Mus musculus: one gene and its partners. The main gene of each other region encodes a partner of the protein of the gene in region 2 in a complex. Links are inferred from orthologs where the notes say so. Each region holds a gene or a part of one and is shown on either strand. Other genes may lie near its edges.

What was found.
Region 1: the proteins of Ngfr (region 2) and Ripk2 are in contact, whole or in part, in an NMR structure (PDB 2N83), measured with the Homo sapiens proteins. The link is inferred for Mus musculus from reciprocal best matches to the Homo sapiens genes NGFR and RIPK2. Residues at the interface, in NP_002498.1 of Homo sapiens: Gly334, Leu335, Ser338, Leu339, Pro340, Lys343, Val347, Ser354, Ala355, Asp357, Arg360, His361, Gly364, Glu365, Tyr368, Pro370, Ile373, Asp374, Leu398, Asp399, Leu401, Leu402, Arg406, Arg407, Ile408, Gln409, Arg410, Ala411, Asp412, Val414; in NP_003812.1 of Homo sapiens: Gln437, Ser465, Arg466, Asp467, Leu468, Met470, Glu472, Asp495, Ile496, Gln497, Gly498, Glu499, Glu500, Lys503, Ile523, Leu524, Val526, Ser527, Arg528, Ser529, Pro530, Ser531, Leu532, Asn533, Leu534, Gln536.
Region 3: the proteins of Ngfr (region 2) and Arhgdia are in contact, whole or in part, in an NMR structure (PDB 8X8T), measured with the Homo sapiens proteins. The link is inferred for Mus musculus from reciprocal best matches to the Homo sapiens genes NGFR and ARHGDIA. Residues at the interface, in NP_002498.1 of Homo sapiens: Arg274, Trp275, Ser277, Cys278, Lys279, Gln280, Lys282, Gln283, Gly284, Ala285, Ser287, Arg288, Pro289, Val290, Asn291, Gln292, Thr293, Pro294, Pro295, Pro296, Glu299, Lys300, Leu301, Ile307, Ser308, Val309, Gln312, Ser313, Asp316, Gln317; in NP_001172006.1 of Homo sapiens: Ala8, Glu9, Leu11, Ala12, Gln13, Ile14, Ala15, Ala16, Glu17, Asn18, Glu19, Glu20, Asp21, Glu22, Val25, Pro30, Ala31, Gln32, Lys33, Ile35, Gln36, Glu37, Ile38, Gln39, Glu40, Leu41, Asp42, Lys43, Asp44, Asp45.
Region 4: the proteins of Ngfr (region 2) and Tradd are in contact, whole or in part, in an NMR structure (PDB 7CSQ), measured with the Homo sapiens proteins. The link is inferred for Mus musculus from reciprocal best matches to the Homo sapiens genes NGFR and TRADD. Residues at the interface, in NP_002498.1 of Homo sapiens: Glu345, Glu346, Glu348, Lys349, Leu350, Asn352, Gly353, Ser354, Ala355, Glu379, Ala380, Cys381, Arg384, Glu420; in NP_001310481.1 of Homo sapiens: Thr201, Phe202, Asn211, Ala275, Glu276, Arg278, Arg279, Thr281, Gln283, Arg284, Glu287.

The regions. Positions count from the first base shown.
Region 1 is NC_000070.6:16,160,825-16,165,119, reverse strand, and holds the start of Ripk2 (receptor-interacting serine/threonine-protein kinase 2), read left to right. Parts: upstream 1-1,476; 5' UTR 1,477-1,723; coding exon 1,724-1,896; intron 1,897-4,295.
Region 2 is NC_000077.6:95,574,192-95,577,747, reverse strand, and holds part of Ngfr (tumor necrosis factor receptor superfamily member 16 precursor), read left to right. Parts: intron 1-3,304; coding exon 3,305-3,556. UniProt on the Homo sapiens protein: Low affinity receptor which can bind to NGF, BDNF, NTF3, and NTF4. Forms a heterodimeric receptor with SORCS2 that binds the precursor forms of NGF, BDNF and NTF3 with high affinity, and has much lower affinity for mature NGF and BDNF.
Region 3 is NC_000077.6:120,578,779-120,583,127, reverse strand, and holds the start of Arhgdia (rho GDP-dissociation inhibitor 1), read left to right. Parts: upstream 1-1,503; 5' UTR 1,504-1,606; intron 1,607-1,880; exon of another isoform or gene 1,881-2,138; intron 2,139-2,734; 5' UTR 2,735-2,756; coding exon 2,757-2,946; intron 2,947-3,077; coding exon 3,078-3,161; intron 3,162-3,383; coding exon 3,384-3,460; intron 3,461-3,548; coding exon 3,549-3,612; intron 3,613-3,697; coding exon 3,698-3,897; 3' UTR 3,898-4,349. UniProt on the Homo sapiens protein: Controls Rho proteins homeostasis. Regulates the GDP/GTP exchange reaction of the Rho proteins by inhibiting the dissociation of GDP from them, and the subsequent binding of GTP to them.
Region 4 is NC_000074.6:105,261,787-105,266,023, reverse strand, and holds the start of Tradd (tumor necrosis factor receptor type 1-associated DEATH domain protein), read left to right. Parts: upstream 1-1,429; 5' UTR 1,430-1,463; intron 1,464-4,237. UniProt on the Homo sapiens protein: Adapter molecule for TNFRSF1A/TNFR1 that specifically associates with the cytoplasmic domain of activated TNFRSF1A/TNFR1 mediating its interaction with FADD.

The DNA of each region.
Region 1 (4,295 bases), on a different chromosome or scaffold from region 2:
ATTAAATGTATATACTTACAAAATCCCTATATGTGTGTATATATACATACATACATACAGCATGTATACGTATATATATTCTTAGTTGAGATATATACACATTATATTGTAAGTACATATTTTTATATTTTTGTATTTTGTTTATGTGTATGTGTGTTGCCTGCAGAAGCCAGAAGTGTTGGTCAGATTCCCTGGAGCTGGAGAGCAGGCAGCTGTGAGCTACTAGATTCGAGTACTGATAACAAACCTCAGATCCTCTGGAAGAACAAGCCCTCTTAACGGCTTACCCATGACTCCAGCCCAAGAAAACATAATCTTAGAATGTAGACTTGTAAAAAACTATTAAGAACTAGAGTATAGGGAAGGAAATGTCGGTGTTATATATATTACACTAATAATATAAGGGACAATTACAGATTGTAGTATCCTGGTGCGTGTAGGATCGTGGAACTATATCGCTCACAAATATGAGATATTTGCGCCAAACATCGTACTGAACAGTTATCTAAGTAGAAAGGTGTTTACAGTAAAAAGATGAAATAGTGCTGGATTTTGGTTGTTTGGTTTTGTTTGTTTTTGCCTTTGTTTTTCTTTTTGGATGGAAGACTTCCCAAACACAAGAAATGGTTTTATATTTCTATTTGTGAGTAGGCTTTGAGGAATAAAAGAAGAAACCGTTTCCTGGTAAGGGAGCAAGTCATATAAGCTAAACACCTCAATTTGTCACACTGACAGCGCTAGCCTCTCTACCTCACTTCTCACAAGTGGCAGCCACTGAGTAAAGACTGGAGTGGAAGCAACCAGATGGTTTACAGCTCAGGAAGTGGGGCACCAGGCTCCCCAGCAGTAGTCACCCCACACCCTATCACGTCCAGGGTTTGGAGTCTAAGGAAGACACTCGGGCCAAAGGAAAATCCAGCCGACCCACCTGACACCAGACTGGAGAACTCCGGAGGGATTTTCCCCGGAGGAAATCTTTTCCAAGCCTCAGCGATGTCCACCCGGCTTGTGGGGGGAGGGAGGCCTCTGAGACACGCCCATGATCTGCAGAGGGAGGAGCCGGCAGAGGGAGGAGCCCGCAGAGAGGGGAGCTTGCAGAGGGAGGAGCCGGCAGAGGGAGGAGCCCGCAAAGATGGGAGATTACAGAGGGAGGGGCCGGCGGAAGGAGGAGCCAGAGGACAGAAGAGCGGGCGGAGGAGGAGCCGGCGGAGGGAGGAGCTGGGGGAGGGCGGAGCCGACGGAGGGAGGAGCTGGCAGAAGGAGGAGCCGGCGGAGGGCGGAGCCGGCGGAGGGAGGAGCTGGCAGAGGGAGGAGCCGGCGGAGGGAGGAGCTGGCAGAGGGAGGAGCTCACAGAGAGAGGAGATTGCAGAGGGAGGAGCCGGCAGAGGGAGGAGACCGCGGAGGGAGGAGCCGGCGGAGGGAGGAGCCGGCGGAGGGAGGAGCCGGCGGAGGGAGGAGCCGGCGGAGGGAGAAGCCAGGGGTAGGAGGCAGGGGCTGAGGAGTTGGTGAAGGTAGGAGCCCGCCCAGGGAGGGCCGGCGGAGGGAGGAGCCCGCCGAGTCCAGGAGGAGGGAGGAGGACGGTCCACCCCGGCGCGGCCGCAGACCCGACGGGCTCCCTGGCACAGCTGACCGGGCCGGAACTGCAGCGGCCACGCGGGAATGGGCCGCCCCGGGACCTAGCGCCGCGGCCAGGGTCGGGCGGAGCCGCCGCGCAGCCGGAGCCATGAACGGGGACGCCATCTGCAGCGCGCTACCCCCCATCCCGTACCACAAGCTCGCCGACCTGCACTACCTCAGCCGGGGCGCCTCTGGCACGGTCTCGTCGGCACGACACGCAGACTGGCGCGTGCGGGTGGCAGTGAAGCACCTACACATCCACACGCCGCTGCTCGACAGGTAGGGCGCCGGCGCGGGGCCCCACACAGACGCGGGCTGGGTGGTCCACAGACCGGCCGCACTATGGCGATGCGCCGGCTCCGCCGCGGCGAGTCCTTAAGTCCTTGGGCTAACCTGATCCAAGGGAGAAACCATCCTGGACGTGCGTCAGACTTTGCAACTCGCCCTGCCTCTCCTCCCACCCGAGGTGTTCCCACTCTCCAAAAACCTGCAATCACGGCCACCTCTAAAACCCTGTTTATTGAACCCGACGTGTGTTGGTACAGTGCTTGTGGGCTTTGCTTTGTTTTAGCTAGCTGTTAGCGGTAAGAGCTGTGGAACTCTAAAAACTGCTCTTGGAAATGAAGTACGCAGTGACTGCAAAATACACACCGGAGTTTGAGCATTTAGCACTAAAAAGAAAAATAATAATACTATACCGGTGTTTTTATATTGATTAAACGTCAAAATATTTTTCTAGGGTTTTATGTGTGTTTCACTCCTGCTCCTGAGCCTGCATATTATGGCTTGGTTTGGTTTGATTTGGTTGGTTTTGTTTTCTTTGTGGTTTATTACGTGCCCTCATGAAGTTCAGTTATCAAATTCTACATTACCAGTTGTTATTCGAGCTCTTGCCTTGGAAGTCCCCAAAGGAAGTGTGCAATGTTTTTTGTAACAGTAAAATGAATCAAAAGCTATTAAATGGTCAAAATTTGTGAAGAATAAAAGTTTTGACCATCCCTTGCCCTGGTATTATTTGTGTCCAGCTCCCACATATTCAGAAGAAAGAAAAAAAAAAAGCGTTGGTTTCTGTTTCTAGGAAAACATTACAACTAAATACCATAGATCTGTGGCTGTATGTGTTAGTCAATGGATCTAGTCAGAACTCTTGTGTGTTTCACTTCCATCAGAAATTGAACTAGACCTTCATTCAGTTCTTAGTGCACTTGCTAACCTTGGTGGCTACAGGCCTCTTCTCCTGCTGGATCTAGTGTGAAAATACAGAGATCATAGCGGCCCTATTGGTCAGAGGCTGTTAACCCTGGGTATCAGGTCAGATACAGCATCAGATAACTAACTCTCTTGCTTCAGCCCTGGTAGAATGTTGGACTTTCATCTGCCTGGAGGCGCCCTCCCTCCCTCCAAGGGCTAGATCACAGTGTATGTGGAGCCAGTGCTGTGTGTGTGTGTGTGTGTGTGTGTGTGTGTGTGTGTGTGTGTTCACGTGTTCGAGCACGTGCGCCTAAGTAGTCAACTTTAAAGGGAGGTTGGTTAGTACCAAGCAAACGAATGGTCTATGGAAATGTAGCACTAATAGACCACTAGGTAGACTAAAGCTAGTTGCTTTCTCACTTTTGATTCTGCTTTTCAAAGCTTCGTTTGTGCCATTTGTAGGCCAAGGGAAAAAGATGGACAGGATGGTATTGCTTTCCCATATTCACCAACCACTTATGGTATAATTTCCTTGCATTGGATAGGGCATTGTCTTTATAAAACCAGCACAATCCCCTACCTTACTGCATTGCATTCTTTTATCTTGCTGTCTAAGATCTTACCATGAGCACAGGCCTAGGCTTATGCAACTGACTCTGAGGGTGTCTTACTTCCTCACCTGTTAAATATGAATAATAAACACTGTATGTATATTTGTTGTGCTCTGGTGTGGATAATGTACCCATTGTTCTTTAAGATTACCTGAAAAGAAAATAAGTCTAGGTGACGTTGCATATTATTTTAATAATTAGTGAGTCACTCTCCATTGCCAGTGAGTGGGACTTCCATAGCAGTCTTCCAGCCTTAATGGACTGATGACTCTGATTGGTTGTTCAAGTACCCTAGAGATGGAGAGCTGTTTCCTATTGACATTTTGAGTTAGGCCATTTTCATGATACAATTATTGAAGCTGTATTTTGCATTTTAAGTTTCTAAAAATCTTTTGCTTTTGTTTTCCCCCTCAATCTTGTTGAATTCTAACCTCACAAACTATCTGATTTGCTTTTCTCATCAAACAATAGAATAGAAAAGCACAGATGTTAGAGTACCAGGGCTACAATTTAAATCTGACTTAAACCCTGTCACTTTGTATTGTTGTCACCAAAGGATCATTCATTTTTTTCTGACTGTAGATGCTCCAATATGTAAACCAGAGAGAATGAAACAAGCTTTAGAGAGTTGATTCAAGGGTTGGACTGTATATAAAATGGCTGGCAGGGAGGAGGAATACATCATACCTTTCTATGTTTGTATGTACATGCATGTGTTTGTATTAGCATACACACATAGGAGATCCATGTGCTGCTGACCCACATGCATGATGGGTAGGCCAGAGGTCAACTTCAGGTATTGTTCCTCAGGACCATTAAGAGAGAGAGAGAGAGAGAGAGAGAGAGAGAGAGAGAGAGAGAGAGAGAGAGAGAGAG
Region 2 (3,556 bases):
CCGGCTTACTGTTCACTGGAAGAAGTCATTCTAACTCCTCTCTCAGCGATTATATGGGTGACAAACAGCATCTGGAAGGCGCCATAGATGCCAGAGTCTGAATCAGGCTTCCTTCCAGCCTAGAGCAGGCTTTCTGCTCTGGAGTCAGGCTGGGGACTCACAGGAGTGAGGGGCCTTCAGCTATGAGGCCAGATGTGGGTGGTGATGATGGCTATAGCATCCCAAATCAAATTAGCCCCGAGTGACACCAGGGGATTACTCCCGTCTCTGGACCTAAGTGTTTTCTGGTAGCCGTAGGGTCACGATAAGGCTGTTGGGGTGAGTGACACATTCTCCTCGCGGTGTCTGGAGATGAGGTAGCATTGTGGCCATTTAATGAGACAGAGTTGGTTGAAAAAAAATGGCCAGATAATGAAGGAAGTGGTTCCAGGGAACAAAAGAGGTGTGGCAAGTGGGGGCATGGCAAGTACGATAATGTGGGCCATGCTTGGAGGGCTCTCCTCTACTGAGGGCTGTAGACAAGAGAAAGCTGTGGGCCTGCCTTATCCAGATAACTCACCTGAAAGAGATAGAGAGATCCTGGGACAGGAGGAGGCAGCTGAGAGCCAGGGTATAGGCACCACGGTCACTGGTAGTGTTCTTCTCCAAGGGGTCAACTGGTATTGGTTTGTTGCTTGTTTGTTTGTTTTCATTCTGTTCATCAGCGGGTGGCCTGCCCATGGATCTATTTGTCTTTGAATTTGAACCTCAGGTTGCCCTCACATTGAGCAGGCAAGAGCATCCCCTTCAGGGACGTCCCTAGTTTTCCCGGAGAGGGAATGGCCTTTGACACAGGTCCAATGAGAGGAGCATGGTACCCCAGCCCGTGGTGACCTGGAGAGAGAAGACAGCCGCAGCTTTGGAGATTCCCGATCCTGATGGAGGCAACACAGTTTCTGCCTTCCATTGGCCTCTTGTGGAATAGAAGCTACAGATGCCCTGTCCTTGGGCCGGGGAGGGGTCCTGACAACCAGCCAGGGCCTCCTCCATACCCAGACTTGAGCTTGCTCTAGTAGTAGAGCAGAGAAGCCTGGCAAGCTACACAGAGGCCCTAAACATGCTTGCAGTTCTTTGATGAATAGGTGGAGAGGGATGGGGCAGAGGCCCCAGGGTGGCTGTGGTGGAGATTTCCACGGGTCAAGACAGGCAAATGGCCTCAGAGGCTAAGCTGAGCGGGGAGAGAGCTTCGGCAGTCAGGCAGCAGGAAGCAGGAAGCTCAGTTCTGTGGGCAAGTCTAGATCAGCCGGTGGTGCACAAGGTCGGGGTTGTGATTAGAGGAGAGGGAGGACCTGGTTGGAAAAGGGGCAGGCTCCGTCTTGCAAGGAATCATTTCTTCCCAGACGCGATCCTTCTTTCTCAGTCATCTTGGCAGAAGGCACCCCCTGACCCCCCAGTAACATTTATCCTTATATTGTTCTTTCTGTTCCAACGTCTGAAGGGTTAAATGTTGGCCCTGAGGCCAAACATCCCTTTCAGGAAATGGAATTTGATTCTTGGGTTGGCAGCCCACTCTTGTCCAATGTTAAATACTCGCCCGCATATACATTTCAGGTGTCAACATGGTGACTCACCCAGCCTTGGGGCAGACGCCCGGCCTCCTTACCGCATTGAAGTTTAGGAGGGGTCACCTGCTCCCTCTTCTTCCTGATAGCTCCCATTCCGGAAATGGCTGTCAGGACCTGCCAAGTGTTTAGCGGGTTGGAACGTCAGAGGACAGGCCCACATCTGGATCTCGTCTCCAACCCTATCAGAGAGGCTGGGGGCGGGGGTGAGGGGAGGTGTCCTGGACACTCGACACTGCCTTTAGCCCTTCTCTGAGGCTCCTTCATTTCTGTATCGCTCACCCACCCACATCAACCTCGGGGGCAGGACTGTCAATCTAAACTGAGTCACATCTGCAACCTCTGGATTCAGGCTACACCTTCAACCTTCCCTGTTCCCCTAGCGGATCATAAGAAGGTCCTCTAGGGTCTAATGCCCAGACAGGGCTGTCTCTCCCACTTCCCACCCTCTCCTTCCAGCCCTGCCCGGTACTGGGATGGGGGTGGGGTGGGACTGGGCAGCAGATGGCAACCTTCCCCACACTGCCAGTCAAATGGATTCCAGACTCACATCTGGGGTCCTTACCCCTCAGAAGGTGCTGAAAATGGGGCCTTTGAAGCATCTCTGTCCCGAGCCAGGGAGACCCAGAGGACTAGTGGGCAGCTTTAACTCCAGCTTGGGTGGGCACACTGTAGACTGGGCGGGGCAGAGCTGGGTAGCAAAGTGTCCTCCCCTTAACCTTACAAGCATACCCTGTCTGCTTTCCCTCCCTGTTTTCCCTGCGTGGGAAGTGAGAATGGATAGGACAGGCTGCTTTGCCCAGACAAGTATCCCCCAGGCCACCATCCAGAGCCTACAACCCCTAGCCCTGCCTCTGGCTGGGTGGCAGAATGGAAAATCCCACCCACTAGTGCCAAGAGGGGCTGGAGCCTCTGCCAGGAAGGCTGGCAATGTCCAAATGGCATGAGCGGGCCTAGATGGGTGGCCAAGCACAGAATTGCTCCTTCTGAGGCAGGGTCTAGTTCGTAGGCCCTCCCTCCGCCAGCTGTCTGCTTCCTGCTAACGAGGGTGCCAGCTGTCTAACCCACTCTTCTCTAGATGCCAGGGCTAGGCTGTTTTGGGAGTGGGGGGTGTCAGGCGTTACAAGAAACATGCTGGCCACTGTTCAAGGACTGGCTGGGGGTGAAGTAAGCCAGTTATACATCTAGTGCCAGCCTAGGCCTGGAGCATCTGAGACAGGAAGGGGCTGAGTGCCACCTGCCGGGCAGCATCTCTGATCAGGCCTCTGATCAGCTCTAAGTGCCCTATCCTTCCTGAAGGCTGTGGTCACTAAGTCAGAGCAATTCCATTCCTCAAAGCAATTAAGTCATTGCTCCAGCTTAAAGATGCTCTACAGCATGCAGGCTTCTTGGTGTTCATGCGTGGCTGCTGGCAGACACTAGAATCCTGGTTCTGCAGCCTAAGCCAAAAAGTTGTTTAAAGACCATTTCTTTTCAGAAAGCCCATTCTCTAGATGGGGAAGTCGAGGCCCCATACTGATAGAAGTCTCCTGTCATACAGCTCTTGCTCTTCTTTTCTAAACTGCATGTGCACAGTCCCAGCTTCCACCCCCATGCGTAACAGCCTGGCCCTGTGTGCCTGGAGGCTCATGATGAAGCCCTGGAAAGCTGGAGCTAAGGGGAAGGCCTGGGTAGGTCCTAACTCCTGTGGCCCTGTTCCTCAGAGATCCCTGGCCGATGGATCACAAGGTCTACGCCCCCGGAGGGCTCTGACGTCACAACACCCAGCACCCAGGAGCCGGAGGCACCTCCAGAGCGAGACCTCATAGCCAGCACAGTGGCCGATACGGTGACCACTGTGATGGGCAGCTCCCAGCCTGTAGTGACCCGAGGCACCGCTGACAACCTCATTCCTGTCTATTGCTCCATCTTGGCTGCTGTGGTTGTGGGCCTTGTGGCCTATATTGCTTTCAAGA
Region 3 (4,349 bases), about 25 Mb from region 2:
TTAATGATCTTTGTGATTTTTTTCAAATGTGAATCACTGTATGTATGTAGCTAGACCGTATAAAAAATCTTTGGGCATGGGCAGGCTAAAAAGATGGCTCAGCAGTTCATAGAGCACTGGCTCCTCTTTGAGAGAGATCTTGGGTTTGATTCCCAGTACAGTACAGAACCCACTACTGTTCTAACTCCAGTTCCAGAGGATGCAATGCCCTCTTCTGACCTTTATGGGTACTGCACACAAGTGGTTCAGAGACTACTTCAAAATATTGATATGCATAAACATAAAAACGCAGCTTTGGAAGATTTGTACTTTGAGCGTCAAACCAGGGAATTGTGGGTGGCACAGAGCTCAATAAACCAGGCTCATCCAGTTGGAGGACCATGAGCCTCCTGAAAAGCCAGCTTGACACACTTCGTTGGGCACACCTGTGTGTAGGTGGAAGGCCAGCCAAATTCATCATACAGTAAGAGTGGGGATAGTCACGTGGCTTTTTGTTTTAGAATAGTTCTGCATAGAAGAGCAGCTACCTGGATGTAGGGTAATGATATTGCAAATCCATCTTCCTTAGAGATAAAAATAAATGAGCTTGAAAGAACACTTGGTTTGCTTCAGATTGATGTATAGCCAGAGGGTATGCGTGCTTGTGTAAAATAACTGGGCCACAACTGAAGATGGAGAGTGGAGGCCATTGGATTCCTCATCTTTTAAGTTTGATGACTCTCCGGAGCCAACAGCTGTTTCCTGGATACCACAGGGGCAGGTGTGGCCAACAGAGCAGGCCAGAAGCGATGGCTTTTGTGGGATTAAGCTATAGAAGTCCCCGTAGTGCCCCTTAAATTCCTGCCTCCCCTCAGTCTGAGGCTACACTCAGAAGAAGCCAACATGGAGTGCCCTCACGGAGTAGCAGGAACTGAGACTCCTCAGGAGGAACTGGAGTGGCTGGCACAAGCACACGACCGGGAACCCCCCCAGCCAGGCCCTCCACTAAGGAGGCTCCATCCTCAGCGTCGTGAAACACGCCTGGCGGTGATGGTGCACGCCTTCAATCTCAGCATCCTGGAGGCAGAGGCGGGCGCGTCTCAGGGATGAGGTTCAAGATAGGCAGGCAGCCCGTTCCAAGGAAAACCGCTCCTCACAGCAAAACCATACAACTTCTAACATACGGGGGCTCGGGGGGCACGCAGTCCCCAGAGCAATGCGCCAGGCAGCACAGCTACAGGGCACTGCGGTCGGTGAGGACTGTGGTTCTGTTGACTCTGAGGACAATGGGACAAGGGCCAGGCACGGCAATCAGGGAACCCTGGGAGCCACAGAATGGCCGCGCGACGCTGCTCTGGAAGAGCCGGCTCTCGTGTCCCACAAACCCTCGCACCCGGCATTCGGCAGAAGGCGCGAGGGCGCCGGCCCACGCGGGACGCGCCCACGAGGCCCGCAGCAAAATGGCGACGGCGCCGACCCGCGCCCCCTGGCGGCGCATGCGCAAGGCGACCCCGCCCGCGAGAGCGGAAGTCTTGTGACCCCGGAAGTGACCGTCCGAGCGGCGGGCGGCGGACGACGTTCGTCATTTGGTGCGGGAGGGAGCGCGAGAGCGGCGGTCGAGCCTCCGGTGAGTGGGCGCGTGGCGCAGCGCGGTGCAGTGCGGGAGGGGAGTGGGTTGGCTTTGTGCGGCGTCGCGGGCGACTGCGGCGCTCGCGGGCGGGGCGCGGTCACCCGGGCGGGCGGGCGGGGCGGGCCAGGGCGGCAGCGCAGGTCCTGCCGGAGGGGCCGCGGCCCCCCGGGCCTGCGCGCCTGCTACCAGGGGACCCCCTTCCTCGGCCTCGCGGGCGGGGTCCGGCGCGGGGCCTGGCCCGGGGCTCCCGCCGCGCGGCCCCGCCCCGCTCGGATTGCGGGCTCTACGGAAGTGCGGGCCGCGCCCTGATGCTGTCGCCGGCGGCCACGCTTGGCGTCGGGTGGGGTTGTCTGTAGCCTCCGGGTTTCGGACCGCCGCTTTATGTGTTTCCTTGGCGGACACCTCTCAGAGGGACAACGGCCGGGCTCTTCCCGGGACCGCTGCGCATTGCCTGTAGGCATCACAGTGGGTTTCCGAGAGACGTTTGGGAATCTGCGGAACTGAAAGGCATCTAGGCGCTTCCGTCCTGGTTGGTTCCTCACCGCCACTAAAGGTTTAGGGTCAGGGCCCAGAAACAGGCTCCTGAGATTTATTTGCAAGCGGTGCACTAGCTCCCAAGTTGCATACGCAGACCCTCACTAGAGAGGACAGACCTGCGTATTTAGGATCCCCTTTGGGCTCTTGGGATTTAAGCGGTCATCACATAGTTGAGCTTAGGACAGTATTCCATTGGAAGGGACGAACAAACAGACCCTTGTCCTGCACGTGGCTAACATACAGAGCATCTCCCTGTCGGAGAACTTACCTCCATGACCCAACCCAGTAAGATGAGAGCCTGGGCAGCTAGGGACAGCAACAGGACCCCAGGGATTTAGTGTTGCGTCTGCCAGTTCAGTTCGGTCTGGAGGCTTATTCTTAGTGGGGAGGAAAGGTGTTTTGCTTCTCTGAGGAACAGGCTGTGGTCCCATTTCGTTGCTTGGGGTTCTAGTCCTCTCAAATGGGCCTCTGCGTAGGGCAGTGGCAGCATCCTCTCAAAGTTCCAGTCAGGTGTCCTGCAGGTGTCAGGGTCTGCCTAGGGTGGAATGCCTCCAGGCTGTCACAGTCCTGCTCATGCCCCGCCCACAGGTGTCCCAAGCTAGAGGTAAGCATGGCAGAACAGGAACCCACTGCTGAGCAGCTTGCGCAGATAGCTGCAGAGAATGAGGAAGATGAGCACTCTGTGAACTACAAGCCTCCAGCCCAGAAGAGCATCCAGGAGATCCAGGAACTGGACAAGGACGATGAAAGCCTCCGAAAGTACAAGGAGGCCCTGCTGGGCCGAGTAGCTGTCTCTGCAGGTAGGTGGCTTGGAGGAAGGATGTCATCTAAACCTGTGCCCAGTCTCTTTCCAGACCACTCTTCCAAGGAGTGAGTTTAAAAAGAAAAATCTTAAGGGATGGGACTCTGACTCTTAACTCTCACTCTGCAGACCCCAACGTCCCCAATGTCATTGTGACTCGACTGACCTTGGTATGCAGCACTGCCCCAGGCCCTCTGGAACTGGACCTGACAGGTGAGTGGGTATTAGAATCCCTGGGTGGGGCCAGCTGGCATCTTGCCTCTACCCCTAAAAATAATTTTCTGCACTGATGCCCTCTGGTGGAGAAGAGGGGAAGTGCAGCTAGGGGCTTGCCGAAGCTCTGCTTTGTGTCAGGGAAGGGGCTGGGGAGAGTGAATGTAGCAGGGTGGAGAGCCCTTCAAGCAAGCAGTCAGCGGAGACTCCTCCTCAATACAGGTGATCTGGAGAGCTTCAAGAAACAGTCGTTTGTCTTGAAGGAAGGTGTGGAGTACCGGATAAAAATCTCTTTCCGGGTAAGGTGGGGGCTTTGAGAGGCCTGGAAACAAGGGGCAGAGGGGCAAGCCTGGGAAGGCAGCTGACCCTGGCTCTGTGTCCCCACAGGTGAACAGAGAGATCGTGTCCGGCATGAAGTACATCCAACACACATACAGGAAAGGGGTCAAAAGTGAGTGGGCGGGCCATAGAGTGGGGAGCCATTGGGCCTGGGAGGGGCGTGCAGCACCAGTAATCCTGCCTCTCCTGTCCCTCAGTTGACAAGACTGACTACATGGTCGGGAGCTATGGGCCGAGGGCCGAGGAGTATGAGTTCCTGACACCCATGGAGGAGGCTCCCAAAGGCATGCTTGCTCGGGGCAGTTACAACATCAAGTCGCGCTTCACAGATGACGACAAGACTGACCACCTGTCCTGGGAGTGGAATCTCACCATCAAAAAGGAGTGGAAGGACTGAGCTCCAGCTGGGAGACGGGCAGGGCGACGGACAGACAGAAGGACCGACATGCCCCACCCTAACCCCCTACCTACCCCAAACCAAAGTGCTGACAGGACCTCCCTCACCCGTCATTCCTCCCTAGTCCACTCAGGCAGTCAGCTCTCCTGTCTGCCCCTCCTCCACCTCCTGCCCGCAGGCCCCTGTGGTCTCCAGTGTCACATTGCTGCTTCTGCCTGTGCAGTGGGGGAGGGGTTCCAGCCCAGGCCTCCAATCTGCTGTGTCCCTCCAGGTTCCCTCTGTCTTCCCTTCCTCAGGCCCTGGCTTCTAGAATGGAACAGAACACTGTCAGGGTTGTCCAGCCCACCTTGTCTCTGTCGCAGCATGGGGAAGGGCTGGGCTATCTGTCCTCTAGTCCCACCACTCCCTGGCCAGGTCATCCATCACTGTCAGTCACTGTCTAACCATGATGC
Region 4 (4,237 bases), on a different chromosome or scaffold from region 2:
ACAGTATATTCACATACATTAAATACATAAATTTTTTTTTAAACAGAAGTCTCTGCTCAGAATAGTAAATCTCCCTAAAGGCTTAAAGGTATAGTTCCAGTGGTTGTGCCTACACACACACACATACATACACACACGCACACACACACACACACACACTTTCCTATCTACCCTCTCTTTTTTTTCTCTTTTCTCATCTCTGCTGTGTGGCCCTGGCTGGTATTGAACTTGAGAATACTCCTGCCTCAGTGGTTTGGTTTTTCTTTCTTTTTTAAAAAATAGGGTCTCACTGTCTAGCCTTGGCTGGCCTGGAACTCCCTATGTAGACCAGGCTGGCCTTGAACTCACAGAGATCCTCCTGCCTCTGCCTGGGAAAGCTATGACTAAAGGTGTGTGTCACCAAGCCTGGCCCTCACTGGCTCTTCAAACTACTTTCTCGTGTGTTGAACAAATGAGAAATAGGTTTCAAGTTGAGGAATCCTGTCCACTAGAAACTGACTGTTGGGGCTAATCAGGCACCAGTCTTAGAGAATATTTTTTGTTTGTTTCTTTTTGTCTGAAATCACAGGCCAATCAGGAAGTGATGGGCGTCCCAGAAGGGGAGTCACCTTTACACTGCCTCCACCCCCTAGTAACGGACTGACTTCCTGCATGCTTTCTGTGACAGACCTGTGGTAAAAAGCTTGTGGCTCTGTCTGGGGCCGGACCGCTCTGGCACCCTTGAGGAGCTGTTGTTCAAGTTAGGACCCTGACCCTCGCGGAGCCTTGGTTCCTGCTAGCTAATAAAGACTCGGGTGGAACCCTGCAGACACACCCCAGAGCTTGGCTTTTACGAGAGGGGTGGGATCGGAATCTGCGTTTTCTCTGAAGCTGCCAGTTTTGCTTCAAAGTGCTGTAAGGTTTTTGTAAAGGTTCACACTTGCCGTTTCATTTCCCCATGTCTTCCAGGTGTATGGTCTCTCGTGGAATTTACCTCAAGTATACACTAGAGTTCCCGGATACTCCAAGCTAGGCTTGTCCTGGAACCACAGCACCCCATTTTCTGTGTTAAAGACTAGCAGAGATTAGATCATCAAACCAGATTTCCTAGGGGGCGCCAGAAAAAATTCTCATCTCCAGGAGATGCCCTCTGATTGAACCCCAGGAACTAACTTAAATTTGGCGGCTCTCACTCTGAAGCCCTTTCGGCTTCAAAACCCCCAAACTGCTATGTCCAGTGGGCAGTTCGTCCTGCCATCTAAACTTGGGTGTCCGTTATCTTACCTGCTCAGCGGACTAGGTGGGCTTTACCCGGAGACAGGGGACTGGCCACGGAGGACAGCTAGGGCAGGAAGGAGAGGCCCTGGGCGGAGAAGGCGGGACGCGCGGGCGGACCCGGCGACTCTGCTAGGGCACCGCCCCTGCGTCTCCGCGCACACCCGGAAGCCGCGCGCAGCAGAGCCAGGCGAGTGTGCGGCGGCCAGGTTAGTGCGGAGGGTGGGTGGGCTCCCTCGGTGCAGCCCCAGCAAAGCGAGAGATCTGGCTTCCCGAGGGCGAGCACCGCGCGGTGGTGACACGCGATTGCTGGCCAGTTAGTGGCAGCGGCCGGTCGGACTGTTTTGGTGGGAGGTACGAGGGACTTCGGACCTCCACCTTCTCTGGTTTTTTGTCCCAACTAAGGGTTTCTGGTGGGTGTCAGGGCCCTGCGGAGGAGGGGATATGGCTGCAGGGCTGGCCGGGAACGGTTCTGAGAACCCTCTTCCTGTCTGAGCCCAGTCGTGCGCGAACCCCCAGTTTGAAGGTGGGGTAGTGGGCAGACTGGGAACCTTCCTAGGCCAGGTCGCTTACTGCGCACCCGAGCAGGGGGCGTGTTCTGATGGTCTGGGAATCTCAAACTTTCTTTGAGTTGGGAGCCAAGCCCTTCCACCTAGCCAGAAGTGGGGCTACCTGGGGACTGTTATTTGTTAATGAGACCGGACATCTGGGTAGAGTCATTTGTTCTGGAACCCAGCGTAGAAGCCTCCTGGTGGAAGGAGGCCTGAGAAGGATTCTTTTTTCATTTTGGTTTTCCGAGACGGGGTTTCTCTGTGTACCCCTGGCTGTCCTGGAACGCACTCTGTAGTGCCAGGCTGGCCTCGAACTCACAGAGATCTGCCTGTCTCTGCTTCCTGAGTGCTGGGATTAAAGGGGTGCACCACCACCACTCGGTTTGGAAACGAATTTTTTTTTTTAAAAGACACACACACACACACACACACACACACACACACACACACACACACACACACGAGATTCAGATGCACCAGAAGAGGGCATCGGTTCCCATTACAAATGGTCGTGAGCCATCATGTGGATGCTGAGAATTCAGGACCTCTGAAGAGCAGTCAGTGCTCTTATCTGCTGAGGGAAGGATTCCTAAGGGGACAGTGAGAAACCAGTTCCCTCCATCTTGTCTGTTCTATTAACCTCACTTCTCCAACTCCGCGAACTCCAAGGCGGCTATTTCCCCTATTTGCCCAGTACTAGTGAATTTACATATCGATTACTCTGCCATCTCCAGCTCTACCGCACTTGTGCTGACAGGCCTGGTGGATAGTACCCCGACACACACCAGTACAGTTCCAAATCTTCTCCTACCCCTTGGGATGGGATCACATCCATGGGATAGAAGGGTAGGAAAGTGAACTAGATGTTTCATGAATCACGAGCTACTTCTTAGACGTCCTTGCTTGTTTTATACCTCGGTAGCTGAAGAGTTACATCGTGATGTTTTTGCCTTACTTTTTACTAAAGACATTTATGGGCTGGGGTGGGGCTCAGTGGCTGAGAACTACCGTACACCTGGCTCAGGGTTCAATCCCAAGTACGGAAGTCACTGGAGCCCTGCCCTGTAGAACTTCCTGGTGTTCTTGCTCTTGGTTCCTGAGGGCTGAGGTTACAGATAGGATGCCATCACCTCAAGTTCTCTCCTTTTCTTTTTTGGCTTTTTGAGCCAGGATCTTACTCTGTAGACCAGGCTGCCCCCTCAAACTCAGAGATTTGACTGCCTCTGCCTCCCGAATACTGGGATTAAAGGAATATTTCATTTACAATCCACCTCCTCTGCTTTTTTTTTTTTTCCTTTTTGAGACAGGGTTTGTCTGTGTAGCCCTGGCTGTCCTGGAACTCACTCTGTAGACCAGGCTAGCCTCAAACTCAGAAACCCACCTTCCTCTGCCTCCCAAGTGCTGGGATTAAAGAAGGTGTGTGCCACCACCGCCCAGCGACTCTTTCTTTCTTTCTTTCTTTCTTTCTTTCTTTCTTTCTTTCTTTCTTTCCTTCCTTCCTTCCTTCCTTCCTTCCTTCCTTTCTCTCTCTCTCTCTCTCTCTCTCTCTCTCTCTCTCTCTCTCTCTCTCTTTCTTTCTTTCATTCTTGTTATTTGAGACAGGGTTTCTCTGTGTAGCTTTGGCTGTCCTGGAACTCACTCTGTAGACCAGGCTGGCCTCGAACTTAGAAATCCACCTGCCTCTGCCTCCCGAATAAGAAACATGTCTCTTATATATAAAGTAGGAGATATTGCTTAATACAAAGAAAATTAAAACCATCCCAACCTGCCCAGAGATAGACAATAATTTTCAGACTGTTTTAGTAAATATATGTATATTAGTATTAAATTTTCTGATGGAAGAGGAGTTTCAAAAATCTATGTTCCTTAGCTGGGCAGTGTTGATGCACGCCTTTAATCCCAGCACTTGGGAGAAAGAGGCAGTGGATCTCTTGAGTCTGAGGATAGCCTGGTCTACAGAATGAGATCCAGGGCAGCCAGGGGTACCTTGTCTCAGAAAACAAACACCCCAACAAACCAACCAACCAAAAACATACAAAAACCCCGTGTCCCCATGCTTAGACCTAGATAGGGCCATGGACAGTTCATCATTTCCCTCCACCAGGTCTATGCTATGCCCTGCCCAGGTGCTTTCTTCTTAACCTTGACTCTCTATTAGAGGTTTGGAAGCAAGATTTTAACAGGAGATGGATGGAAGTGATCCTGGCGTTGAGGGGCCCTCATGTCTCATGTGGAAAGTTAGGGAATTTGTTTAGGAATAGCCAAAGAGAACACGGGCCCAATCACAAAGCAGGATGACTTAGCGCGCATAACTGAGCAGTCAAGGATGGTCCGAGATAGCTGGATCCGTGAGTGCATGTCCTGTCCTCAGGCGGGCGTGGCAGCACTTGCAGATAGACCGCTGTGAGTCAGAGGCCAGCTTCCTGTAAAGG